Linked DNA regions of Stegostoma tigrinum. The protein of the gene in region 2 purifies or fractionates together with the protein of the main gene of each other region. This does not show direct contact. Links are inferred from orthologs where the notes say so. Each region holds a gene or a part of one and is shown on either strand. Other genes may lie near its edges. The genes, in order: ras-related protein Rab-8B, gdi2, rab10 and ras-related protein Rab-7a.

Region 1 (7,339 bases), on a different chromosome or scaffold from region 2:
GGTTTTCACAACAAATTTTTGTTAAGGGTTGTTAAATAAAAAAGTTAATTATGTATAAATAAAGGCAAAAATATAAGATTAACATAGGCACTACTTATAATCAGTGTCTCAGCCATATTAACGACTGCCCTTTAGCCCTGCTCTGCATGCAGATGGTTGGTGGTGGTGAGGGGATGTCCGCTGTTTTGAAAATGCACCTGCAGTTCATTGAAAATGTTTGTTTCGCTTTTTTTTAAAAAGCATCAACTTGATGCAACACTGGAACTACACTACATTCACATCCTGTCTAAAGTCAGGACAAATTTCAGTTCAAATTCACACACAACTTCAGTTATCTGTACAAGCCACAACCACATTGCATGAACATGCTAGAGTTAAATGTAAATGTACCTTAGGAAAAGATCTGAAGTGTGCAGCGAATATACATCATACCTAGCTATAAAGTTCACAGTTGATGTTAGTTTATTCAGTACTCCTAGTAAATATTAAAAGGCTTAACAATATACTGCAGGAGAAACAGTAGGCAAGATAATACAGTAACATATGTTCATTTTGTACTACAATTTTAAATCCATCACCATAAAACACTCACCAGTACCACTACTGGGGCCCCATCTCGACAAACTGACAGGCATTTTTATATTCATTCATGGGACGGGCAATAAATGCTAGACAGCGACACCCTCATTCCATGAACGAATATAAAAATGCCTGTCATCCCATGAGGGTGTCACTATCTAGCATTCATTGCCCATCCCTAATTGCCCAGAGGGCAGTTAAGAGTCTGGAGTCGCATGTAAACTAGACCAGTTCAGGACCTTAGTGATAATGGGAACTGCAGATGCTGGAGAATCCAAGGTAACAAAGTGCGAAGCTGGATGAACACAGCAGATGAAGTCTGACGAAGGGTCTAGGCCCAAAACGTCAGCTTTTGTGCTCCTGAGATGCTGCTTGGCCTGTTGTGTTCATCCAGCTTCACACTTTGTTATCAAGGACCTTAGAGAACCAGTTGGTTTTCTCAGCAATCCACAGTAGATTCACAGTCATCAGGCTCTTAATTCCAGATATTTATTGAATTCAAATTCCACCATCTGCCATGGCAGGAATTGAACCCGGGTCTCCCAGAACATTACCTGGGCCTCTGAATTAATAGTCCAATATTACCAGTAGGCCATTGCCTCCACACTGACCAAGGAATCAACATATGAAAAGATTCTGTAACTATTACACTGCGATCATCTGCTAACATACTCATGTTCTGATTCTAAGCAACCACCAAATCTCTCAAGAGGAAGCACAAATATTTCATTTGAGAAAATCAAAAATGAAAGACCACTTCCGAGAAGCAAATGTCAGTTTTTGTGTTGAAAAAAACAAACAATTTAACTGAGACTTGTATGCAATAGAAAAATGGCATTTTTTCCCAAAAAAGGTGACTGAAGTATTTTTGAATTAGTATAAATTTTCAAAGCTCAGTTGAGACAAGTAGTAATATCTCCACAGGTGTACGAAACAATATTCAATTTGGTTTCAAACATCCTAAGTATGAAGTTTATTTTTGAAACATGCTACAAAATAATATGCTTTTCTGAAAGTAGTTTACTACTGACCAAAGCACTAAAGTATCCACAAATCTGTACAATATTTTAAAACATTTGCAACTTGGGCAAAAAAAACATAACCTGAAACACTGACCTCTAACTTCTAACTCAATTAAATTAGTATTTTTGCTCAATTACATTCCAAAACAAATTTCATTCAGATCTTTACTTCCAAAATTCCAGCAAATATCTGATACTTAATATTCAAGTTTCAAATGTGTCTCAGCAGTAGCTCTCCTGCTCGTACTTTGAAACTGCAGATTCACAGAGTTGTGCCACACAAGAGGTTCTGCTCCACAGAGGCCACCAAGAATCACATAAAGACTCTTTCACCCTATTCAACATCAGGCCAATTTCTGGCATCCCACTGCCTGAACCAAAAGTCTTTTAATTGGGAACTTGCCTTGTTTATAGAGATAGGAGAGAGTGTGGGGTAATAGAAGCAGGGGTTCGGAGGTTGAGGGAGCTGTAGGGAAGAGATGGAAAGGTGGTAGGAAGGAGTAGATTGAGGTGGTTTAGCAGGGAACACGCAAGGGGTCAGAGGGGGTGGAGGGCCATGGGCATCAAGTGGGACAGGGGCAGCTGTGGGGGAGACCTGGGGGTGGAGGCAGGTAAGGGGAAATACAGGAGATGGTAAAATGGGGGGAGGGAAGAAGTGGACAGTCAGAGGGGGAGTGAATAGGGGTGAAAAATGGGGGGGGCGGTAGGGGTGAAAAATGGGGGGGGCGGTAGGGGTGAAAAATGGGGGGGGCGGTGGGGGTGAAAAATGGGGGGGGGGCGGTGGGGGTGAAAAATGGGGGGGGGCGGTGGGGGTGAAAAATGGGGGGGGCGGTGGGGGTGAAAAATGGGGGGGGCGGTGGGGGTGAAAAATGGGGGGGGCGGTGGGGGTGAAAAATGGGGGGGGCGGGGGGGTGAAAAATGGGGGGGGCGGGGGGGGTGAAAAATGGGGGGGGCGGGGGGGTGAAAAATGGGGGGGGCTGGTGGGGGTGAAAAATGGGGGGGGCTGGTGGGGGTGGAAAATGGGGGAATGGGGGGACGGGGGGATAAGATGGGGGTGATGGCGGGGTAGGATGGGGGTGATGGCGGGGTAGGATGGGGATGATGGCGGGGTAGGATGGGGGTGATGGCGGGGTAGGATGGGGGTGGGAGGGGATGAGTTGGGGCGCCCCTAAAGCAAACGGCAGGCCCCGAGATTGGCGCTCTCCCCCCCCCCGATCCCTCCCTCACTGCCGAACTCACCTATGGTGGAGATGAAGGTCGTGTTAAAGGCGTCCTCCGAGAAGCGGAAAAGGAGGCAGGTTTTACCGACGCCGCTGTCGCCGATCAGCAGCAGCTTGAAGAGGTAATCGTACGTCTTGGCCATGGCGGGCGGGAGCTGACTGCAGCCGACGGTGAAACCCAGAACTCTGCGCGTGCGCGGACGCTGGGGGCGGGGCCTCACGCCAATCACATGCTCTACGGCTGATTGGCTTTCGTCCGACGTACGCGGGCGCCGTGCGTGAACGTCAACGCCGCAATGACAACTGGGGATTGTAGTCATTTCTTTCTTCAACTCCTCGTTCCCCAACAGGCGATGGTCTGTAACTACAGATTGTTCTAAATTGGGACAGTTACACTAACGTCAGCAATGTGGACGTGAATCTCATTGATTTCCTGTCTACTCCTCCATGCCCCAAACCACTGCAGTCTCTAAAATAAAGAACTACAGATGCTGGTAATCTGAAACAAAAACAGAAAATTGCTGGAAAAACTCAGCTGGTCTAGCAGCATCTGTAGAGAGAGACAGAATTAAAGTTTGAGTCCAGTAAGCCTACTTCAGAGTGGACTGAAATGTGATCTCTGCTTTCTCTCATTACATTTGCTCCCAGATCTGCTGAATTTTTCCAGTTATTACTTTTAGAATAATTCTTTAATGGGATGTGGGCATCATTGACTGGTTAGCATTTGTTGCCCATCTGTACTTGCTCTTGAATTTAGTGACCTGCTATGTCATTTTCAACATCATTGCTATGTGTCTGGAGTCACATGTAGGCCAGACCAGGTAAGAAGGGCAGATTTCCTTCCCTGTAGGGCATTACTGTACCAAGTAGGTCTTTACAACAATCCTCCACAAGTCTGGGCCCCCTAAGGTAGAGTTCAGCTCCCCAAAATGTAGGATTTAATCACCAAGTAATCTCCCTAACAATTCAGCCTTACTCCATCTGAATTCCCCGGGTATGATAATGTGGGGTAGGTGGTGGCCCAGTGATATTATCGCTAGACTATTAATCCAGACATTCGGATAATGGTCTGGGGACCTGGGATTGAATCTGGCCAAAGCAGATGGTAGAATTTGAATTCAATAATAATCTGGAATTAGGAGTCAAATGATCACCATGAACCCATTACCGATTGTCTAGAAAACCCATCTCATTCTCTAATGTCCTTTAAGTAAGGAAACCTGCCATCCTTACCTGGTCTAGCCAACATGTGACTCCAGACTCACAGCAATGTAGTTGACTCTTAACTGCACCCTGGGCAATTAGGGATGGGAAATAAATGCTGGCCCACCCAGTGATGCCCTCATCCTATGAATGAATTAAAACAAAATAAATTGCACTCTCATGGAATCATCTTAGATTAGTTCACCAGTTTTCAGGCTTGGATTTTTTGCTGGTCCCACCCAACTCTTTGCCACTAGGCCTTTGTATTATAGTACTGCCAAGAACTGAACACTGAGCAACATATATCTGTTTTCCCTTAAGCAATTTTTTTTTGCAGGCTCATTTTCCAGAAATCTACTATCTGAGCCAGGAAATCAGGGCTGCAGGGGCGATTGTACAGTTTGTGTTCTGTCCCAGAAAACCACATGGGGATGAATAGATCTGAACAAATCTTGATGTAATTTTCTGCTTATGTAAAGAAATGCACATTACAAGTTTACACCTCCCTTCCCAACAGTGACACTTTTGGTCTGCATCCAATTATAGTGGACTCAAGTATAGGTCCACCATGAGCAAACCATTACACATATTTAAGATAATCAAATGTGAGGCTGGATGAACACAGCAGGCCAAGCAGCATCTCAGGAGCACAAAAGCTGACGTTTCGGGCCTAGACCCTTCATCAGAGACCTTCATCAGACACATATTTAATATGCTTTGTATCCGGGCTTAAATTCCAGAGAGCTCATAAAGATGGGAGGTGTTCTCATTTTAACATTGAAAGTTCCAATATTCAGCTTTCAGTTCAGGTAAAATACTTTGGATGAAATGCTGTGTCTGAAATATATACGTAAGTTAATGAACATAAACTTTTAAAACATCTGCTAAAGAGATGTTTGTCATTGCGAGAAACTAAAATAACATAGCCAGAAGGATAGGAGATCAAGTTTGACCAAACTTGAAATTTTAGGTGACATTAAACCAAAGTCAATGAGAGAAAATAGAATCAGAGGGAGGTGAGGTGCCCTTTGAGATTCTGGAAAGACCGAGTTAAAATTGTACTTCTGGCTCCTGGTCAAGGAAATGATACGAAATGTTTTAAGTTGTCCTCAAGTTTTGGATACTGGAAAAGCAAGTATAGATAGTGAACTGAGGCTAGTAAACACTGATGTTTTAGGTAGACATAGAGTGAAGGTTGTTCTGTACAATTGCAGAATATCACAGTCTTCTCTATTCCATTGCTTCCCCAGGACTCCTTTGGTTTATTGCTACCAATTTCTGCGAATGAATGGGTGACTGACTGACTGTGTGGCTGAAAGAGTGGATGTGTGAGTGAGTAAGTGAGTGAGTGGCAGTAGATGTATGTAAGTGAGTGAGAGAGAGAATGCAGGCACGAGTGAATGAGTGCGTAAGAGAAACTTGATGTCTGCATTACTCCGACTCTAGTTTCTCATGCATCAACGTCCTTTGATCCATTTTTGTGATTATGTTTTTAGCACATTTTAAGCTCTGGAATTCCATCCCTAAACCTCTCTGCCTCTCTTTCTCCTCCTTTAATGGACAAAACCCTCTTTAAATGCTATCAAAAGCTTTTGACCACCTTAGAATTAGAAATGGAATTAGAATTAACTTTATTGTCACATGTCCTCACATGAGTATAGTGAAAGTTTACAAGTCACCAATTATGGCACCATCTTCAGTACCAAGTACCCAGGTACAGATTATGAAATACAAATTCTTAAGGAAAATTTTAGAAAAATAAAGAAATAAAATGTCCAGCAATAAATAAGAAAAGTAGAGGAATAAGAGGTCAGAATAACAGTCCTTCCAACCCACACCACACCAGGCTTCACCTTGAGGCTGGGAAATCGATTCCGCACTGAGTCCACGTTGAGGCCAGGAGCCTGGGTCCGCGCCGGGGCTGGGCTTCTGGATCCGTGCTGAGGTCATGAGTCTGCACTGGCTTTTACCCTGGATGTCCTTGATGCCACCCAAGAATGCAAGGTGTAAACAGAATGGAAAGAAATGCAAAAATAGTGAGAAAAACAGAAAAGAAGCAGATAGAGTGGATGAGGTCCTGCTCAGGAGTCCTACTCCACTGCCACCCGTCCTGGTATTTGTCACTTTGGCTAATTTCAGCCTGAATACATGCTCATAAAGCAGCATGCAATGCTAACATACATTAAAGTGCTGTATGAATGTCATGTTATTGATAATGATTTAACTGCCAACCAATCATCAAAGATTGATTATATATAACAAAGTGTGAAGCAGGATGAACACAGCAGGCCAAGCAGCATCTTAGGAGCACAAAAGCTGACATTTCGGGTCTAGCCCCTTCATCAGAAAGGGGGGAATGGGGAGAGGATTCTGAAATAAATAGGGAGAGCGGGGGAGACAGACCGAAGATAGATAGAGGAGAAGACAGGTGCAGAGGAGAGTATGGGTGGGGAGGTAGGGAGGGGATAGGTCGGGGGGGTATGGGATGAGGTTAGTAGGTAGGAAATGGAGGTGCGGTTTGAGGTGGGCGGAGGGGATAGGTGAGAGGAAGAACCGGTTAGGAAGGCGGGGACAAGCTGGACTGGTTTTGGGATGCAGTGGGGGGGAGGGAAGATTTTGAAGCTGGTGAAATCCACATTGATACCATTGGGCTGCAGGGTTCCCAAGTGGAATTTGAATTGCTGTTCCTGCAACCTATGGGTGGCATCATTATGGCACTGTAGGAGACCCAGGACGGACATGTCGCTAAAGAATGGCAGGGGGAGTGGGAGGTGCAGTTGTTTATTGCGAACCGAGCGGAGGCGTTCTGCAGAGCGGTCCCCAAGCCTCCGCTTGGTTTCCCCAATGTAGAGGAAGCCACACCGTGTACAGCAGATGCAGTATACCACATTGGCAGATGTGCAGGTGAACATCTGCTTGATGTGGAAAGTCATCTTGGGGCCTGGAATGGAGGTGAGGGAGGAGGTGTGGGGGCAGGGGTAGCAGGTTGCAGGGGAAAGCGCCGGGTGTGGTGGGGTTGGAGGGGAGTGTGGAGCGGTTAAGGGAGTCACAGAGAGAGTGGTCTCTCCGGAAGATAGACAAGGGTGGGGTCGGATTGTGGATGGCGGAACTGTCCGAGGATGATGCGTTGTATCTGGAGGTTGGTGGGGTGGTATGTGAGGGCTGGGAGGATTCTCTTAGGGCAGTTATTGCGAGGGCGGGGTGTGAGGGATGAGGTGCGGGAACTGTGGGAGGCTCGGTTGAGGGCGTTCTCGACCACTGCTGGGAGAGTGTTGCGGCCCTGGAAGAACGAGGACATCTGGGATTGCGGGAGTG
Region 2 (6,868 bases):
CCTCCAACCCCACCACACCCAGCGCTTTCCCCCGCAATCGCACGAAGTGAGACACCTGGCCCCACACCTCCTCCTTTACCCACACCCCAGGCCCCTAGATGACTTTCCACATCAAGCAGATGTTCACCTGCACATGCGCCAACGTGGTGTACTGCATCTGCTGTACCCGTTGTGGCTTCCTCTACATTGGGGAAACCAAGCGGAGGCTTCGGCACCGCTTTGCAGCACACCTACGCTCGGTTCGCAATAAACAGCTGCACCTCCCAGTCGCGAACCATTTCAACTCCCTGTCACATTCCTTAGACGACATGTCCATCCTGGGCCTCCTGCAGTGCCATAATGATGCCACCCGTAGGTTGCAGGAACAGCAACTCATATTCCGCTTGGGAACCCTGCAGCCCAATGGTATCAATGTGGATTTCACCAGCTTCAAAATCTCCCCTCCCAACACTGCATCCCAAAACCAGCCCAGCTCATCCCCGCCTGCTTCCTCTCCTCCCACCTCAGGCCGCACCTCCATTTCCTACCCACTACCCTCGTCCTGCCCCCTTGACCTGTCCATCCTCCCCAGACTGACCTATCCCCTCCCCACCTCCCCACCTCCCCACCCATACTCTCCTCTCCACCTATCTTCTCCTCTATCCATCTTCGATCTGCCTCCCCCTCGCTCCCTATTTATTTCAGAATCCTCTCCCCATCCCCCTTTTCTGATGAAGGGTCTTGGCCCGAATCGTCAGTTTTTGTGCTCCTAAAATGCTACTTGGCCTGCTGTGTTCATCCAGCTCCACACTTTGTTATCTCTGCCCTTATAACCAGGTTTTTAACTTCTCCTGTCATGTACAATAATTTGTGCACCTATTTTGCAAAGTTTCTCTGTTCCTGCATCCCTTTAGAATTGTACCTTATAGTTTATATCGCCTCTCCTCATTCTTCCCACCAAAATGAATCACTTCACACTTCTCTGTATTAAATTTAATCTGCTAATTTGCTAGCCCAATCCACCAACCTGACTACATCCCTTTAAAGAGGTAGCAGGAACTGCCGATGCTGGAGTCTGAGATAACAAGGTGTATAGTTGGATGAACACAGTAGGCCAGGCAGCATCAAATGAGCAGAAAGCTGACGTTTTGGGTCTGGACCCTTCTTCAGAAAGGAAGGGGAAATAACTAGAGAGAGGGGGAGGCGATAATAGAAGGTGGATAGAGGAGCGGATAGGTGGAGAGAAGACGGACAGGTCAAGGAGGTGGGGATAAAGCCAGTACAGGTGCGTGTAGGTAGGGAGTTAGGATGGGGGTTGGTCAATGAGGAGAGAAGGGCGGATAGGTGGGAGGGACGATGGACAGGTCAAGGAGGCAGGGATGAGGCTAGTGGGTAGGAAGTTGGGGTTGGGTTGGTGACGAGATGGGCCCGTCTTCAGATGAGGTCAGGGGTGGGGACATTTTGAAGAAGACTTGTGAAGTCCACATTGAGACCACTGGGCTGCAGGGTTCCCATATGAGGTGCTGCTCCTCCAGCCTTCGGGTGCCATCGTTGTGGAATTGGAGGCAGCCCAGGATGGACGTATCATCTAAGGAGTGGGAGAGGGAGTTGTCGTTTGTCACAAACCGAGCATAGGTGCTCCACAAAGCGGTCTCAAGCCTCCGCTTGGTTTCCCCGATGTAATGGAGGCTGCACCTTGAACAGCGGATACAATATACCACATTAGCAGATGTGCAGGTGAACATCTGTCTAATGTGGAAGATTTTACATCCCTTTAAAGTTCTACATGATTCTTCACAACACTTCCCTGATTTTTTGTTATCTGTAAATATTGAAATTATGCCCAAACACCAGGATCTGGATCGTTAATGTATACCAGGAAAACTAAGAGTCTAAACACTGATGCCCTCAGTGACACTCTCATCTTGTGAATGAATTTTAAAGAAATTAAAATAACTGTTCCTGGGGTCCTCCATTATGTTACTTGCTCCAGTTCAAGAAACAAATATTTATTACTAGTCTTTGCTTCCTCTGCTAATTTTGTATTCACATTGCTACAGTCCCTTTATAGTCCACTGACATCAATTTTGCCTGTAAATCTGTTGGGCAGCTTTATATCAAATGTCTTTTGGATGTTCATGTACACCACATCAACTGCATTAAACATAAGCATTCTTTTTAATTCTTTCATGGAATGTGGGCAACATTGACAGGCCAAAATATATTGTCCATTTCCAAATGCCCTTGATAAGGTAGTAAGTGATCTTTTTGAATTGCTTAGGATGTAAGTACACCCATAATGTTGCTGGTCAGGAAGTTCCAGGATTTTGCAGCAAAGGTGAATGAAAGATGATGACAGCTCCAAATTATAGTGGTTTGTGGTTTAGAGGGGAAGTTGCAAGTAACGGTGTTGCCACACATCTGCTGCCCTTGTCCTTTTAAATGATAGAGATGCAGGCTTGGAAGGTGCTTTGGTGAATTGTTGCAACACAAAACTTAAATAAGATACACATAGTGGCACTGAGCCTTAATGGTGAAAGTAGTTGATGCTCAATATGGTGGATGGGTTACCAAGCAAACAGGCCATATTTCCCTGTATAGTCATAAGGATTTTACAGCATGGACAGAGGCTTTTAAGCCTATCATGTCTACAGCAGTCATCAAGTACTTATCTACTCCATTCCCACATTTCACTACTTGGCCCGTACTTTTGTATTCTTTGATGCCTCCATCAAAGGGAAAAGTTTCTTCCTATGCACCCTTTCTATGCTCCACATAACTCGTATACCTCAATCAGGTATCCCTTTAACTGTCTCTGCTCAAAAGAATACAACCCAACTTATCTGGTGTCTCTCTTCACAGTTGAATCCCAGGCACTATCCTGGCAAATCTCCTTTGCACCTGCTCTAGTGCGATTGCAATCTTCCTATAATGTGGTCACCAGAACTGTGCACAGTACAGAATGACTGAGAAGAAAAAAGGCCCACTGAGGCTATTGCCAAAACTATGCTAAATATACTCTGGTCCCACTATCCAGCTCTGGGCCCAAAGTCTTGAATGTTATGGCATTTAAAGTGAGTCTGGCATGGATGCTGGTAATGTTGTTCAGTGTGGGAACTGAAGCCAATACTTTGATGTTCTTAGCATCACTCACTAAACATCTGAGCTTATCAGCCACCATTAGTCCAGCAGTGGCCTATCACGTCGTACAGCTCCATCATAATTTCCTCGCTGTCGGCAAAGCATTCCAAATACCTTCTCAATTAGTGTCCTGAATCTCCCATGTGAACAGCATTCCTAAAAGAAGAATAGAAATTGCTGGAGAAACTCAGCAGGCCTGGCAGCATCTGTGGAAAAAGGAAAACAGTTGACGTTTCGATTCCAGTATCCCACAGTCCTCCAGAACAGACCTAAACTGCCTTGTGGAGATGATGAATGGGGAGTCAGTTAACACAGCAGGAGAGCCACACACTTTTAAATCCATGGTAACATTTCTGTATTCGCCTAAAGACGGAGTCTGACTGCGGTTTTATCGCTTCCTTTAAGGAGATGGAGGCAGCGGACGTACTCCGTGGCTACTAGTCACTTCCAACCGCCAGGCATTCGGCCACACACGGCGAACCTGCAGCGGCGGGAACCCCACTGCGCCTGCGCAACCACACCCTGTCCACCCCTCCCCCACCCGGAAAAAAATGCTGCATTTGGAGCTGAGGTGGTTGACGGTTCTGGGCAGGAGCGATCCTCGACAGCACAAACACCGCGCATGCGTGAACGGCCCTCAGGCGAGGTCGCGAGCTGGCGGGGAGTTGTGCACATGCGCGTTGACGTTGCTCTCCGCCTTGTAGTTTTTCCCGCCCCTTCAAAGGGCGGGTAGTGCGCATGCGCCTACTTCAGGGACGGGGGAAGAGGAGCCGAAGCAGAGATTGTTCCAGATCGTAGTTCGCCGCCTTGTCTCTTTCCCTGAAGTCAAAAGGAACTAACCGCCATCGCTGAAGATGAATGAGGAATACGATGTGATCGTGCTGGGCACTGGTCTCACGGTGAGTTTGCTCTTGGTTTTGAGGCCCGATGCTTTGTGAGCGTTGGGCGGCGAGGGGTGAGGTCGACTGCCTAGGCCTTGGGCCTCTCCCCATCTCCGCGTCTCGCTGAGTCAGGGAGAGGAGGGGGTTGGGTTTGGAAGGAGGACGGAGATGGAGAGAGTTAGGCCAAAGGACCAGTCCCCGGTAGGGGAGGGGAGTAGGAGTAGGAGTTTTCTTTCCCACTGAATTCGCTCACCTATTTCTCCTCCACGGGAGAGTCTTTATCCTTTTGCTATCGCAAGGTTGGCGGGTTTTTCTCTTCCCTTTTGGACACCGGAAGTTTGTGCTTTGCTGATGCTTAAGGTCGGGAAAGTGGTTGGCGATGGGAGTTCTTTGACTTATGAAAAACAAAATCCGAGCAATATATAATTTTCAGCATTAGCAAGGTGCTGCGGCTGCTGAAATTCAGAACAAAATGGTCGATTATTCGGCAGCAGCTGAAATGCTCTGGTGGGGGGGGGGAGAAAATGCCACAATTAAAATGCTGACACTATTTTCAGATACTGAGCATGTCCAGCGGTGTATGTATTTTATTTTTTCTTGTTTTGGTCACTATAAAGATGTCTAGAATGCTTTCTCCGTGACCGCTGTGAAGGCTTGGAAGCTTTTACAGGGCAATACCTCCTGATTCCCAGCGATCTGCCCACAGCTTGCAAGACACGTATCAGGAGTGTGATGAAATACTCCCCCTTGTCTAGATAGGTGTAGCTTCTCCAACAACTCTCGAGGAACTCGAGATCATCCAGAACAAAGCTAATTTGACCAACATCCCATCAATATTCAACAGTCTGTGCTATGTATATGATGTAGTACAGCAGCACCAAGGGTACTTCAACAGCATGTTTTAAGTTTGTGGCCTCCACTATCAATGTAGAAAAGGCAACAGATATAATGTAAATTTGTCTTTAAGTCTCTCTCAATCCAAATTGGGGCAATATCACCATTTGTTTTTTCTGGTCACCTAGGGTGATACTATTGTGCAAGTAAATGTGCTACCTATGGATGAGAGTTTGCTCGCTGAGCTGTAAGGTTAGTTTTCAGATGTTTCGTCATCAACCTTACAGCTCAGTGAGCAAACTCTCATCCAGAACCTCAACCTGAGCTACAAATCTTCTCAAAACTGTGCTACCTATGCCACTCAATGTTAATTATATACTACCACTTCATTGAGACTAGAAATGACTTGTTTTGTGTATGAACTAAATTCTCATGATACAGATTTTTTTGATCAGTGTGTTTGGAGAGGGTCAGCAATTGATGTAGTTACGTAACAGAACGTTGGACCTGTTTTTCTGAAATAAGCCTAAAATCTAGGTTGCACGTCACCTTTTACAATTTGTTCCCCTCAGTTGAATACTCGCCTTGCAACTATCGTTCCTTCTGCCTTTCCTTTGCATGTTATAGAAAACATTTTCAAAATTCTTTAAAAAAACTTCTGTTTAATTTGTCTTTGATTCTCTTGTTTTGGCTTCTGTTTTGTAATTGAAAACAGCTGTATAAAATCTGAAAAAGACCCTTTTTTTCTCTTGAATAACGTGAAAGAAATGACTTGGCTCAGGACGTGGAAGTAAATTTAAGTTTGTGGTCTAGCTGGAAAAGGTCTTTGTGCTCAAATGGAACTTTTTTCTTTCTTTCAATTTTATCATCTTAGGCTGTTCCTCCTTTTTCGTGGTGAAGAATGTCTGTCTGCCAATCCTTTGTTAACTTGGTCATTAAGTCAGTAGTTATCTGAGCCAAGGCCTCTTGTATAGGAAAGAAGGAAAAGAAACCTGTTAAATACCACTATTTATAACTTCATATTATCCCAAGGTGCATCACAGCCAATTACACTTTGAAATGTGGTCACTGTGATAATGTAGGGAAGCACAGCTGCCAGTTTGCACTAGAAGACCCTACAAATGGTAATCAACTTGTTAGTTGAGGAATATATATATATTGGTTAGGACATCAAGAAAACAACGCCTTACCCATCTCTCAGCAGATGGGTCTGAATTTCATATTTCATTTGAAAGACAGTGTAGAATCCTCACATTTATAGTGTACCTAGACTTTTTTGGCTTCTGAATGGGGTTTGGATCCATGACTCCTGACCTCTTTGGATGCTGCCACTGAATTGAGACTTCCACCTGGGAAAGAAAGTGGAACAGATAGGACTATATTTAACAAAAATCTGGTAACCAATTCAACGCTCTTAATGTTGTGCAGTGCCACTACCCAACGTGCACCGAGTAAATCTGTCATAAGTGGAAGTGAAAAGCAATGTGATTCAGTCTGTTGGATAACAAGCAAATAAATAGTGCCGATGATATGATTTAATTATGGAAGTCTGAGCCACCCAGCTCTCAGTTCTGCTTTGAATTGAGACTTGCAGTGATTATGTTAGAGCACATTGGTATGAAATGGTTTCACAATTGTATTCTAACGTGACTTAACCTCCCAAAAAAATTGTGATAAATAGATTATTCTGTTAATCTGCAAAACTGGGTAAGATGTTTGATTTAATTTGTAACTTGGATCTTTGTGGGTTTAAGTTACTTTTTACTTCTCCATGTTATTGTTGAAATCCAAGGATACTGCTGGGTTAACCAACATTTGCACGCCAGCTAGAGGAAGTGGTGGAGGCTGGTGCAATTACAATGTTAAATAGGCAACTGGATGGGTACATGAGTAGGAAGGGTTTAGAGGAATATGGGCCAAGTGCTGGCAGATAGGACTAGATTAATTTAGGATTTTTAAAAATTCATTAACAGGAGGAGGGCATTGCTAGGTAGGCAGCAATTATTGCCCATCCCGGTTTGCCCAGAGGGCAG
Region 3 (6,900 bases), on a different chromosome or scaffold from region 2:
TCACACACACACACGCATATACGCATTCACACACACACGTATGCATTCACACGCACGTACGTATTCACACACACGCACACACGCATGTACGCATTCACACACACGTACGCATTCACACACACATGCACGTACGCATTCACACACACGCACGTATGCATTCACACACACATGCACGTATGCATTCACACACACGTACGCATTCACACACACGCATGTACACATTCACACACACACGTACGCATTCACACACATGCATGTACACATTCACACACACACGCATGTACGCATTCACACAGGCACGTACGCATTCACACACACATGCACGTACGCATTCACACACACGCACGTATGCATTCACACACACATGCACGTATGCATTCACACACACGTACGCATTCACACACACGCATGTACACATTCACACACACACACATGTACGCATTAACACACACACACGCACGTACGCATTCACACACACACACGCACGTACGCATTCACACACACACACGCACGTACGCATTCACACACACACGTACGCATTCACACACACACGTACGCATTCACACACACGCATGTACACATTCACGCACACACGCGCATGTACGCATTCATACACACGCATGTACGCATTCACACACACATACGTACGCATTCACACACACACGCACGTACGCATTCACACACACACGTACGCATTCACACACACACGTACGCATTCACACACACACACGTACGCATTCACACACACGCACGTACGCATTCACACACACGCACGTACGCATTCACACACACGCACGTACGCATTCACACACGTACGCATTCACACACACGCACGTACGCATTCACACACACGCATGTACACATTCACATACACACACACACGCATTCACACACACGTGCACGCATTCACACACACGTACGCATTCACACACACGCACGCACGCATTCACACACACGCACGTACGCATTCACACACACGCACGTACGCATTCACACACACACGTACGCATTCACACACACACACGCATGTACGCATACACACACACACGTACACATTCACACACATGCATGTACAAATTTACACACACACACGCATGTACGCATTCACACACACGTACGCATTCACACACACACACGCATATACGCATTCACACACACACGTATGCATTCACACGCACGTACGCATTCACACACACGCATGTACGCATTCACACACACGTACGCATTCACACACACATGCACGTACGCATTCACACACACGCACGTATGCATTCACACACACATGCACGTATGCATTCACACACACGTACGCATTCACACACACGCATGTACACATTCACACACACACGCATGTACGCATTCACACACACACACGCACGTACGCATTCACACACACACACGCACGTACGCATTCACACACACACACGCACGTACGCATTCACACACACACGTACGCATTCACACACACACGTACGCATTCACACACACGCATGTACACATTCACGCACACACGCGCATGTACGCATTCATACACACGCATGTACGCATTCACACACACATACGTACGCATTCACACACACACGCACGTACGCATTCACACACACACGTACGCATTCACACACACACGTACGCATTCACACACACGCACGTACGCATTCACACACACATACGCATTCACACACACGCACGTACGCATTCACACACACGCATGTACACATTCACACACACACACACGCATTCACACACACGTGTACGCATTCACACACACGTACGCATTCACACACACGCACGCACGCATTCACACACACGCACGTACGCATTCACACACACGCACGTACGCATTCACACACACACACGCATGTACGCATACACACACACACGTACACATTCACACACATGCATGTACAAATTTACACACACACACGCATGTACGCATTCACACACACGTACGCATTCACACACACACACGCATATACGCATTCACACACACACGTATGCATTCAAACGCACGTACGCACTCACACGCACGTACACATTCACACACACGCACACACGCATGTACGCATTCACACACACGTACGCATTCACACACACACGTACGTACGCATTCACACACACACATATGTACACATTCACACACACACATATGTACACATTCACACACACACGTACGTACGCACACACACACACGCACGCACGTACGCATTCACACACACACACGTACGCATTCACACACACACATGCACGTACGCATTCACACACACACGTACGCATTCACACACATGCATGTACACATTCACACACACACGCATGTACGCATTCACACAGGCACGTACGCATTCACACACACATGCACGTACGCATTCACACACACGCACGTATGCATTCACACACACATGCACGTATGCATTCACACACACGTACGCATTCACACACACGCATGTACACATTCACACACACACGCATGTACGCATTCACACACACACACGCACGTACGCATTCACACACACACACGCACGTACGTATTCACACACACACGCACGTACGCATTCACACGCACGTACGCATTCACACACACACGTACGCATTCACACACACACGTACGCATTCACACACACGCATGTACACATTCACGCACACATGCGCATGTACGCATTCATACACACGCATGTACGCATTCACACACACATGCATGTACGCATTCACACACGCATATATGCATTCACAAACACACACGTGTGTTTGCACACACGCATGCACGCATTCACAAACACTCACATGCGTTTGCACAAATGCATGTATGCATTCACAAATACACAAATGCATGTGCACACACGCATGTACGCATTCACAAATACACACACATTTGCACACACGCATGTAAGCATTCCACACTCCTACCACTCTTTGAGTAAAGAGCCTACCTCTGACGTCTCCCCTGTATCTACCTCCACTCACCTTAAAACTGTGTCCCCTTGTAAAAGCTACTTACAACCTAGGAAAACATCTCTGGTTGTCTACTCTATTATACCTCTGATCACTTTGTACACCTCTATCTAGTCACCTCTCGTCCTTTGTCGTTGTAAAGAGAAAAGCCCTATCTCTCTCAACCTTTCCTCGTAAGACCTTCCCTCCATTCCAGGCAACATTCTGGTAAATCTACTCAGCAACATTTTGAATGCATCCACATCTTTCCTGTAATGAGGCGACCAGAACTGGACACAATACTCCAGATGTGGCTGAACCAGGCTTTTGTATAGCTGGAGCAAAACTTCATGGCTCTTGAACTCAATCCCTCTGTTAATGAAAGCTAACACACCATACGCCTTCTTAACAACTCTATCCACCTAGGTGGCATTTATATACATACACACACACACACACACACACACACACACTTGCACACATGCATGCATACATATGCACATACATACACATGTACACAGATGCATGCATGTAGAAATGTATATGTATGTAAACGTTCATGCATATATATCACATATACATGCATACACACATATATACATGCATTCATGCACATTTACACGTACACACACGTGCAGACATGCATTCACACATATACATGCTCACACCTGTACATTGACAAACACACAGACATATACACATACATACATAACGTCAGCTATCTCACCAAAGGAACACACAGTCCTGACGCCGCGCCGGCGATCCTCATCACCCCATGACGTCATCCATTCGGGCGGGCTGTCGATCGATGATTGACATGTGGAGACCCCACCCCTCCGTGGTTTGGAGAATGAACGGGCGCTTCGTTCTGAGTGGGCGGGGCGGACTATTCCACTGATGGAGAGTGGTTTTGAGGGGGGGGGGTGTCAGTGTTTTGGGTGGATGCCCTCCATGTGGTTGCGTTTGGTTTGTCCGAAGACTGACGTCGACGTTGAATGAAATTGGTGGTGCTGCTCCCGAATGTCTTAGCGAAGTGAAAAGAAAGGGAGAAAGAAAAAAGAAAGTTTAACTAAGGGCACGGTTACCGGCCCGTGTGCCAATTTTTATTTTGTTTTGAACAAGGCAGATCAATGGAAATTCATGGCATCTAACTTGTTGCGGCCGGAACGCTGTTAAAGTGAAAGAGCTAGAGAGGCGCCATTTTGTTCCTTTTTTTAATTATAAAAATAAGAACACTCCTCGCCCCAGCTCATCAACCTAAGGAAGGGAGGGATTATGGCGAAAAAAACCTACGATTTACTCTTCAAGTTGCTGCTGATCGGAGACTCCGGAGTGGGGAAAACCTGTGTGCTTTTTAGGTTCTCGGATGACGCCTTTAATACCACTTTTATCTCCACAATAGGTAAGTGAGGGAGAGAGGGCGGTCAGTGCCTCCGGCCCAGGCCCAGGCCTGTTCAGCTGCCGCTGTCTTGGGTGGGGGCTCTGGGCGGATGTCCGAACCACAGTTTGGGCCTTGCGCCTGATCTTACAGTTTTTTTTGTTGTATAAATAACAGGATTGTCCAGTGTAATGTAGTGAAGCCTCGGCCAGGGGGAGTTTTAGGTTTTTTGAAAAAAACTGAAAACGTATGTGTCCCTCAACATTTCTTCTGCTCATGGTGGCAGGATGTGCAGTTAAACCTGCTGAGGTTGATATTTGTCCAGAAACACCATTTGGATCATTTCGTTTGTTTTTTTTAGTGTGTATAAACTGTGTTTTGTGCCAGTATGGTTTGTCATTGCTTTCTGAAGCGCCGATTGCATTTTAAAACCAAGCTGCCGTTTTTATGCTAAACTTGGTTAATGGTATCTTGGCCTTTTGGAAATCGTTTTAAATGGTTTTAGGGCTTCTAATTTGAGCGTTTTTCTACTTTACAACAGCACTATACATAAAGCGTTCTGGTTCGAAAATTGGTTACGGGAAGGAGAAACAGTCAGAAAAATCGCCTGTTCTTAGGTTGGGCGGTTGTCACTGGTGTGCTCTATTGCCAGGTCCTAATTGTTCATCATATGTTTCAAGAATTTGGGTGTGGGGACTATATGTAACATTTCCAAGTTTGCAGATACTACAAAACATGATGGGAATGTGTATTGTGACGAGGATGGAAAGATGCAAAAGGGAGATTCAGGCAGGCTATGTGAATGAATAAAAACGTGGTAAATGGAATATAAAATCTCTTAAAATTATGGGAGACTAGGAAGTGCTGATGTGCAAAAGTCACAGAGCACGTTGTTAGGAAGGCAAGTAGTATATTGACCTTAATGTGAGAGCATTTTAGTTCAGGACCAAAAAGATTTTGCTGCCAGTTTTTGGAATCTTGATGGCAGTGCACCTGGAGTAGCATTGTGTACAGTTCTGGTCTCTTCCAAAGGAAGGATGTACTTGCCAGTGAGAGAGAGAGAGAACAAAACTGATTTGCCAAATTAATTGCTGGGATTTTATGATTGTCTAAGTAATGACGAGGCCTATTATCATTAGGTTTAAAGGAATGAAAAGTGACTTAATTGAAGGTTCTTTAAGAACTTGTCAAGATAAATGTAGGAAGGATGTTTCTTTCAGCTGACGTTGTCTAAAACCAGGTGACACAGTCTCAGAATAAGAGGTAGACCAGATAGGGCTGAGATGAGGTGAGATTTCCTAGCTCTGAGTTGTGAATCTTTGAAATTCTCTAGCCAAGAGGATGTGATGATTTATTTGGAGTGTGTTTGAGACTGAGGTCAGTAGATTTTTAGGTTGTTGAAGACAAAGGGATAAGAAGATTCTGTGGGAAAATTGCATTGCTGGAGATCATTAGTTCAGTGATTAAGCAGACTCGAGAGACTGAGTAGTTTATTGCTGATTCTCTTCCTGTTTTTAAATGTGCTTTCATTTTAAACAAAAGGATTAGTTTATTGACAATTAATTTCTTTTAAACCTGTTTAGGACAGTTGGTTGAGAAAAGGTCAGGTAGCTAAAAAGTCATAGTATGACTGGAGATTTAATCTCTGAATCTGTACATATAAATATGAAGGCTGCTGAAAATTTCCCAAGTTGTTATATTTTTTAATAAATATGTTTCATTTAAATATAGTTTGCATTTTAACTTCTCAGTTAACTAACATGGCCTAATCAGAGGAAGTGATAAATTCTTGTTGGATACAGTCTAGTTACCATAGCTCAGTTGTTAATTTGGTTGTGGGTGTGGTCAGTTGCAAACAAAGTACTATAAATCATTTCCACAGTTTGCTATTTAGCTCCTTGTGCCTCTTCGGACTCTGAATGAAATCATGGTTGATCAGGGATCTGGTGCTATGTCCGTTGCTGGACTTTATTAACCTAAGCTTTCAGTCTTAAATTTAGAATTAACAATTGACCTAGAATGGCAGAAGAGAATTTCAAGCATTTGCAAGCTTTTGTGTGAGAAAATATTTCCTAATTTTATTCCTGAAAGGTCTGGTTCTAGTTTTTGATTCTCCCACCTCTTCCTAGGCTCATCAAACAATAGTTTCTTTTAGCTAGTAAATTTTTTTGGGGGTTTAGTGTCCAGATTGCTTGTTGTGCCTCACATGTGATTTAACTAGGGCTTTGTATAGCTGTAGCATGACTTCTGTTCCTTTGTGTTGAAGTTTGCATTAGATTTGAAGGCCAGCATCCTATTAGCCTTTCTAGTTATTTTCTGGACCTGTCAGTGTCTTTAGATCTGTCATTTCTAGCTTTTAACTATTTTTTAAAAAAATGAAGTATGTTTACAGGTCAAAAGTGAGAGTTCATGTTAGGCTATGTTGAAATTTGTTTGCCAACATGAAGTCCATTTGCCACTGTTTTGCCTATTGAATTAATTGATATCCTTTGTAATTTTTACTTATACCCATCCATTTTCTAGCAAGCTTGGATTTCTTCATGTCATTTAAATTACTATTAAAGATGGTGAGACCTCTGAACCAAGACACCCAGGTA
Region 4 (7,784 bases), on a different chromosome or scaffold from region 2:
CCGACCTGTCATACCGATCACAAGCCCATCTAGCCTACACTATTCCATGTACGTCCATATGCTTATCCAATGACGACTTAAATGTACCTAAAGATGGCGAATCTACTACCGTTGCAGGCAAAGCGTTCCATTCCCTTACTACTCTCTGAGTAAAGAAACTACCTCTGACATCTGTCCTATATCTTTCACCCCTCAAATTAAAGCTATGCCCCCTTGTGCTCGCTGTCACCATCCTGGGAATAGGGCTCTCCCTATCCACGCTATCTAACCCTCTGATTATTTTATATGTTTCAATTAAGTCACCTCTCAACCTTCTTCTCTCTAATGAAAACAGCCTCAAGTCCCTCAGCCTTTCCTCCTAAGACCTTCCCTCCATACCAGGCAACATCCTAGTAAATCTCCTCTGCACCCTTTCCAAAGCTTCCACATCCTTCTTATAATGCGGTGACCAGAACTGTACACAATACTCCAAGTGCGGCTGCACCAGAGTTTTGTACAGCTCCTCTACATTGGGGAAACCAAGCGGAGGCTTGGGGACCGCTGTGCAGAACACCTCCGCTCGGTTCGCAACAAACAATTGCACCTCCCAGTTGCGAACCATTTCCACTCCCCCTCCCATAACCTCTTGGTTCCGGAACTCGATCCCTCTATTAATAAAAGCTAAAACACTGTATGCCTTCTTAACAGCCCTGTCACCCTGGGTGGCAACTTTCAAGGATCTGTCTACATGGACACCGAGATCTCTCTGCTCATCTACACCACCAAGAATCTTACTATTAGCCCTGTACTTTGCCTTCCGGTTACTCCTACCAAAGTGCATCACCTCACACTTGTCTGCATTAAACTCCATTTGCCACCTCTCAGCCCAGCTCTGCAGCTTATCTATGTCTCTCTGCAACCTACAGCATCCTTCGTCACTATCCACAACTCCACCGACCTTAGTGTCGTCTGCAAATTTATTAACCCATCCTTCTACGCCCTCATCCAGGTCATTTATAAAAATGACAAACAGCAGTGGACCCAACACCGACCCTTGTGGTACACCACTAGTAACTGATCTCCAGGATGAACATTTCCCATCAACTACTACCCTCTGTCTTCTTTCAGCAAGCCAATTTCTGATCCAAACTGCTATATCTCCCACAATTCCATTCCTCCGCATTTTGCACAATAGCCTATTGTGGGGAACCTTATTGAATGCCTTGCTGAAATCCATGTACGTCACATCAACCGGTTTAATCTCATCTACCTGTTTGGTCACCTTCTCAAAGAAGTCAATAAGGTTTGTGAGGCACGACCTTCCCTTCACAAAAGCGTGCTGATTATCCCTAATCAGTTTATTCTTTTCTAGATGATTATAAATCCAATCCCTTATAACCTTTTCCAACACTTTACCAACAACTGACGTAAGGCTCACTGGTCTATAATTACCAGGGTTGTCTCTACTCCCCTTCTTGAACAGGGGAACCACATTTGCTATCCTCCAGTCATCTGGCACTAGTCCTGTAGACAATCACGAGTTAAAGTTCAATGCCAAAGGCTCAGCAATCTCCTCCCTGGCTTCCCAGAGGATCTGAGGATAAATCTCATCCGGCCCAGGGGACTTATCTATCTTCACCCTCTGAAGGATTTCTAATACCTCTTCCTTGTGATGGGGGATGGGGAGAGGATTCTGAAATAAATAGGGAGAGAGGGGGAGGTGGATTGAAGATGGATAGAGGAGAAGATAGGTGGAGAGGAGAGTATAGGTGGGGAGGTAGGGAGGGGGTAGGTCAGTCCGGGGAGGATGGACAGGTCGAGGGGGCGGGATGAGGTTAGTAAGTAGGAAATGGAGGTGCGGCTTGAAGTGGGAGGAGGGGATAGGTGAGAGGAAGAACAGGTTAGGGAGGCGGGGACAAGCTGGTCTGGTTTTGGGATGCAGTGGGGGGAGGGGACGAGCTGGGCTAGTTTTGGGATGAAGTGGGGGAAGGGGAGATTTTGAAGCTGGTGAAGTCCACATTGATACCATTGGGCTGCAGGGTTCCCAAGCTGAATATGAGTTGCTGTTCCTGCAACCTTCGGGTGGCATCATTGTGGCACTGCAGGAGGCCCGTGATGGACATGTCATCTAAAGAATGGGAGGGGGAGTGGAAATGGTTCGTGACTGGGAGGTGCAGTTGTTTGTTGCGAACCGAGCGGAGGTGTTCTGCAAAGCGGTCTCCAAGCCTCTGCTTGGTTTCCCCAATGTAGAGGAAGCCACACCGGGTACAGCGGATACAGTATAACACATTGGCAGATGTGCAGGTAAACCTCTGCTTAATGTGGAATGTCATCTTGGGGCCTGGGATAGGGGTGAGGGGGGAGGTGTGGGGGCAAGTGTAGCACTTCCTGTGGTTGCAGGGGAAGGTGCCGGGTGTGGTGGGGTTGGAGGGCAGTGTGGAGCGAACAAGGGAGTCATGGAGAGAGTGGTCTCTCCGGAAGGCAGACAAGGGTGGGGATGGAAAAATGTCTTTGGTGTTGGGGTCGGATTGTTTTGCGGCTTCAGTTCCCATTATCTCCGATCACTCCTTCCAACTTGCTCACGCCGAACCCGCCAGCCTCACTCAAGCCCTGTCATCAAAATAAGTAACACTTTCCCAGATGCTGAAGGAGATTCGCTGGATTTGAAACATTAACTCTGTTTCTCTCATCAAAGATGCCACCAGGCCTGCTGAGTTTCTCCAGCATTTTCTGAGTATGTTTCACATCCCTAGTGTCCGCAGTTCTTTGCTGAATCATTGCCTCCGTTGGCTCTTTTCCTTCCTAGTTCTAAATAGTCACATTATAAATCCTTTGTAATCCAGAAATGTCCATGCATGTCCATATTCCAATTCTAATCATTCACAAACTTATACATCCTAACAAACAGCACCTTTCACATCCACTAAAGTACTCAAAAAAACTTACAGCCAATGAAGTCTCTTTTGAGGTGATATAAGTGGGAAAGGAGCCAGCCAGCTAAATCCCTTTTTCTGGTTTTCGCCCAGGACCATTAGTGAGTTCCAGATATCTACATGCTCTCAGTGAAAAGCATTTTTCACAAATCCCCCTCTAAGCCTGCTTCTCCTTACATTACCTTAGCCAGTCCCACTTCTTATCCCTCTTCCACACACCAACTGTAACCTTCGATCTGATTTATTGCTGTCACATGTACCTAAGTACAGTGAGAAGTTTTGCTTTGCATGCAGAACTGGCAGATCATAACATACAAAGACATACAGATCATAGGGAGATTGAATACACGGAGGTGTACACAGTTATGGTTGCACAGGAAGTGTACAAAAGCAAGATTAACATTAGATGTGAAACTTGAGAGGTCTGTGCAGCAGCCAAATAGCAACAGGGAAGAAGCTTTTCATAAACCTGTTGGTACATGTGTTTAAACTTCTGTATCTTCTGCCTTACAGAAAAGCTTGGAAGAGATTATAACCAGGGTGGGAGGGATGGATAAAAGCATGGTCACGAGGAGCAGGAGTAAGCCATTCAGCCCTTCAAGTCTGCTCTGCCATTTAATATGATCATGGCTGATCCTAAATACCATGTTCCTGCTTTCTCCCCACATCCTTTGAAGCATTTAAAATCTAAAAATGTATCCATCTCTTTCTTGAAATATTCACTGAATTCGCCTCGAAAGCATTCTGTGGTAGAAAATTCCACAGGCTGACCATTCTTTGAGTGAAGAAATTTTTCCCCATCTCACTCCCAAACTGTGCTTGTAGTTCTAGACTCCCCAAACAGGGGAAACATTCTCCCTGCATCTGGTCTTTCTAGCCCTGTTAGAATTTTAGCAATCAGATTCCCTCTCATTTTTCTAAACTGCAGTGACAACAGGCCTAGTTGAGTCATCTCTCCTCACAGGACAGACTTGCTAACCCTGGTATCAGCCTGGTGAACCTTTTGCGCATTCCCGCTATTCTTTAGTAGTTATGGAGACACAACTGCATTCAATACTCCAGATGTGGTCTCACGTAGGCCCTGTAAGTCATTCGTACTTCTGAACCAAAATCCTCATCCATGGAGGTCAGCATACCGTATGCCTTCCCGTTTGCTGAACCTAGAATAATGGCGTTTTGACAGCACCGATAGAGGCCCTTGGGCCCATTTCGTCCACACTGGTCATCAAACACCAATCAATTCTAATCCCATTTTTCAGCACTTGGCCTGTAACCTTGAATGTTACTTTAGTTCTGAAGAAATCATACTAGGTTTGAAATGTTAACACCGTTTCTCTCTCCAAAAGTGCTGCCAGCCCTGTTGAGGTTCTCCAGCACTCAGCTCAGTTGGCTGGACAGCTGCTTTGTGTTGCACTAATCAGTGTGAATTTAACTCCCAAACTGTCTAAGGTCATCAAGGTCCTAAAATGCAACAAAGAACCACGGATGATGGAAGTCTGGAACAATTACAGATATTGCTGGAGAAACTCAGCAACTTCAGTTCTGAAAAACGTTCTCTGGACTCCAATGCTGCCAGAACAGCTGAGTTTCTCCAACACTTACTGTTTCTGTTTCGGATCTTTAGCATCCACAAATCTCTGTTTTACTATCAACACTCCCCAGCCCGTTTCAATGGTTTAAATCCTTAAGACCTGTCTTAAGATCACACTCGACTCCCCAGCCTCCCCCTCAACAGTAACGTGTCCCGCGTTTGGCAGGCGCTAGGACCCGGCAAGGTTGGTCGTACTCGAACCCGCCCCCACCCCCCACATGGCAGTCACGCAGCGGGCGGTCCTGCGGGGGTGACGCCATACGCCGAAACGTAATACGCGGTGACATCAGACGCAGGGTGCGGGTGATAAGCGGGGAGTCGGAGGCAAAGCTTCGACAGCTAGGAGCGGCCCGGCCCAGCCAAGCCAGTGACTTACCGAGCAAGACCGGCAGTAGGCCGCGCAGCTGACTTTTCTCAACCTCCCTTGCCCTTTCAGGTGAGTCTGACTCGGTGCCGGGTACTGGTAGGCCGCTCTGCCCGCGGGTGTAAAGCGCTTTTGGGAGAGGAGGAAGGAGAGAAACAACGGAGGCCTCGATCTCGGAGAGAGACACACAGGGCCCAGGGTCCGCCCAGCGGCCGCGCTCCCGGCCCTGCGCGCACCCTTCCCTAGCAACCGTCCCCGGGCTCTTCCTAGCAACGACACCCCCCGTGCTTGATGCCCCAGCGTGTGGGGAAAGCGGTGAGCCCTAGCAACTGCCCCCGGGCCCCTTGGCAACACCCCTGCGAGTGACAGGAACTCGCACCCCTTCAGGCCCTGGCAGTCCTGGCGAAGTAGCATCTGTGCTACATCAAATATACATTAGCATCCCGCTGGGGAGTTGTTCCCCTCCTTTCTCTTTCTAATTTAATAACCTGTGCAGCGCAAAACGCAGTATAATTACTGAATGACACGGTGTACGTGTTACACTTGCTTTCAGTTCTCTTCAAATGTGTTTTTTAAATGCTGGCTTCGCATTTTTCCGCTTAGATTTTGTGTGGATTTTTTAATTTCAGTGGGATGCATCTTTTATATTGTTGTGAGCGGCTTTCCCTAAAGCTAGGGCTAACACTAGATTTTCACGTAGCTGTCTGGGCTCTTTCGAGAACGCTATTAACCCCCCCTTCCAACGACAAGTGACGCTTGTTTTGAGCCGTCGCTGCTGTGTTGTATATGTGGAGAGCCTGTGGAAACTTCAAACCTGGCTCCTTTGTCTCTAGTCTTCGGGGTGACTAAGCTCTTTGAGCTGGTTTCACTTTTAATATCGCTAAAATTTTCATGTTTCTATTTAATGTTGCAGATAAAAGTATGTTGTGGCATTGTTTGCCAGTTTCAAGGCTTGTTGTTCAGGAAGCTCTGTAATAAATCGAGTGATTTGATTTTTGTTTGCGAGTAAAATAGGGTTTCTAAGACGCTTGTTTCTTCAGTAATACTTTCCTAACTAGAGCAAACGAGGCTTAATGCCACAGCACCACTCCAGTTGTAGTGTCTTATTTTGATCTAGTTTCTCGTCAACGCGCATTTAAAAATGCGACTTGCCTGAGCTGTCTGTATGATGGACAGCCAAATGATCTAACTGTGAACTGCATTGTTGTGAAACAGGTATCATGATGTAGTTTCTGTCCAATGGGGGGGTTGGGGGAGAGAGGTGGTGGGTGGTTGAGTTTGTAAATTGTTGCTTTTCTCGAAGTCCAAGAAACCTGCTCCTCGTGATTCTTACAGCTGATGAAACACATGACTTGTCATTGCACTCCTGAAAAACAGACATGAACACTTTATTTATATAAACTTCAGATGTTGCCAAGGGTGTTTTCTTGTGAACTGCCCCCTTTGGGCATATGTGGTGCTGCATCCTATGACATGATAAAATGACTCCTCCTTTTTACATGTGCTAGCTTGTCTTTTTCAATCTAAATACTTTAGACCTACTCAGATTCTTTTTCCAATGTAGAAATTGTCAGTGATTAAGTGTATGGTTTACTAAGTGTAACTGTATTGCTGCTCTGCCTGGGATCTCTTCTGTGAAGAGATTATGGAATAATGTTTCCTCAAGTTTGAGGTTGTGTAATCTAGTGGCAGGGTGTTTTTAGTTAGGGACCAATTGCTCAGCTTACTGGTGGGTTTTTCAGAACTGGGTCCTTTTTGTTATTGGAATGTTTAGGTCAGGGAGCAACATGGGACTTAATGAGCTGTAATATTGAAAGTGCAGTAATGGGAACTGCAGATGCTGGAGACGACAAGATGACAAGGTGTAGAGCTGGATGAACACAGCAGGCTGAGGAGCACAAACTGATGTTTTGGGCCTAGACCCTTCATGAGAAAGTGAGTTGGATACCTGACTTTCACCATGGATGTCCAGTCCCTGTACACTGGCATTCCCCATGCAGATGGCCTGAAGGCCCTCTGCTTCCTGTCCCACAGGCCTGACCAGTCTCCTCTCCTCCTCCTTCTTCCCCCCCCCCCCCCCGCCATCTAGTCAAACTTGTCCTCCCCTCAACTTCTTGATTCCTCCCACCCCCTACAGACAAAGGGGGTGGCCATGGGTACCCACATGGGCCCAAGCTATGCCTGCCTCTTTGTAGGTTATGTGGAACAATCCCTCTTCTGTACCTACACTAGCCCTAAACCCCACTTCATCCTCCATTACACTGACTGACTGCCTGCATTGGTGCTGCCTTGTGCCTTGAGGAGCTCAAACAGTTCATCCACTTCACCAACACCTTCCACCCCAACCTTAAGTTCACCTGGGCCATCTCCAACACATTGATCCTTCTCTTCTCTTCTTCCCCCCCCCCCCCAAAATCTTCCTGGACCTATGTCTCCATTTCAGGCATCACCTAGAAACTGATATCCATTTCAAGCACACTGACTTCCACAGCTACCTAGAATACACCACCTTCCTGTAAAAATTCCATCCCTTTCCCAATTCCTAAACCTCTGCCACATCTGCTCCCAGGATGAGGCATTCCACTCCTGTACACCTGATCCCTTTAAGGACTGCAACCCCCCCTCCCCTTGCAGTAGTCTCTAACACTGTTGACCACGTTTCCTGTAACTCATCCCCCCACCACACCCTGTCCCTGCAATAACTGCCAAAAGAGAATCACCCTTGTCCTCATGTACCACCCCACCAAGCTCCAAATCCAACACATCATCCTCCACTTCTGCCATCTGCAGTTGACCCCCAGCACCAAAGACATTCATCCATCCCTACTCTGATCTGTTTTTCAGGGGGACCACTGTCTGTGACTCCCTTGTCAGGTCCACACTCCCCTCTAGCCCCACCACACCTGGCACTTCCTCC

What was found.
Region 1: the proteins of gdi2 (region 2) and ras-related protein Rab-8B purify together in Homo sapiens (affinity purification with mass spectrometry; 3 studies listed by BioGRID and IntAct, with this or other methods). This does not show direct contact. The link is inferred for Stegostoma tigrinum from reciprocal best matches to the Homo sapiens genes GDI2 and RAB8B.
Region 3: the proteins of gdi2 (region 2) and rab10 purify together in Homo sapiens (co-immunoprecipitation; 3 studies listed by BioGRID and IntAct, with this or other methods). This does not show direct contact. The link is inferred for Stegostoma tigrinum from reciprocal best matches to the Homo sapiens genes GDI2 and RAB10.
Region 4: the proteins of gdi2 (region 2) and ras-related protein Rab-7a purify together in Homo sapiens (affinity purification with mass spectrometry; 3 studies listed by BioGRID and IntAct, with this or other methods). This does not show direct contact. The link is inferred for Stegostoma tigrinum from reciprocal best matches to the Homo sapiens genes GDI2 and RAB7A.

The regions. Positions count from the first base shown.
Region 1 is NC_081389.1:9,828,642-9,835,980, reverse strand, and holds the start of ras-related protein Rab-8B, read right to left. Parts: upstream 3,001-7,339; 5' UTR 2,965-3,000; coding exon 2,841-2,964; intron 1-2,840. UniProt on the Homo sapiens protein: The small GTPases Rab are key regulators of intracellular membrane trafficking, from the formation of transport vesicles to their fusion with membranes.
Region 2 is NC_081378.1:11,740,242-11,747,109, reverse strand, and holds the start of gdi2 (rab GDP dissociation inhibitor beta), read left to right. Parts: upstream 1-3,842; 5' UTR 3,843-3,974; coding exon 3,975-4,019; intron 4,020-6,868. UniProt on the Homo sapiens protein: GDP-dissociation inhibitor preventing the GDP to GTP exchange of most Rab proteins. By keeping these small GTPases in their inactive GDP-bound form regulates intracellular membrane trafficking.
Region 3 is NC_081357.1:131,665,552-131,672,451, forward strand, and holds the start of rab10 (ras-related protein Rab-10), read left to right. Parts: upstream 1-3,883; 5' UTR 3,884-4,200; coding exon 4,201-4,327; intron 4,328-6,900. UniProt on the Homo sapiens protein: The small GTPases Rab are key regulators of intracellular membrane trafficking, from the formation of transport vesicles to their fusion with membranes.
Region 4 is NC_081364.1:4,089,360-4,097,143, reverse strand, and holds the start of ras-related protein Rab-7a, read left to right. Parts: upstream 1-4,772; 5' UTR 4,773-4,939; intron 4,940-7,784.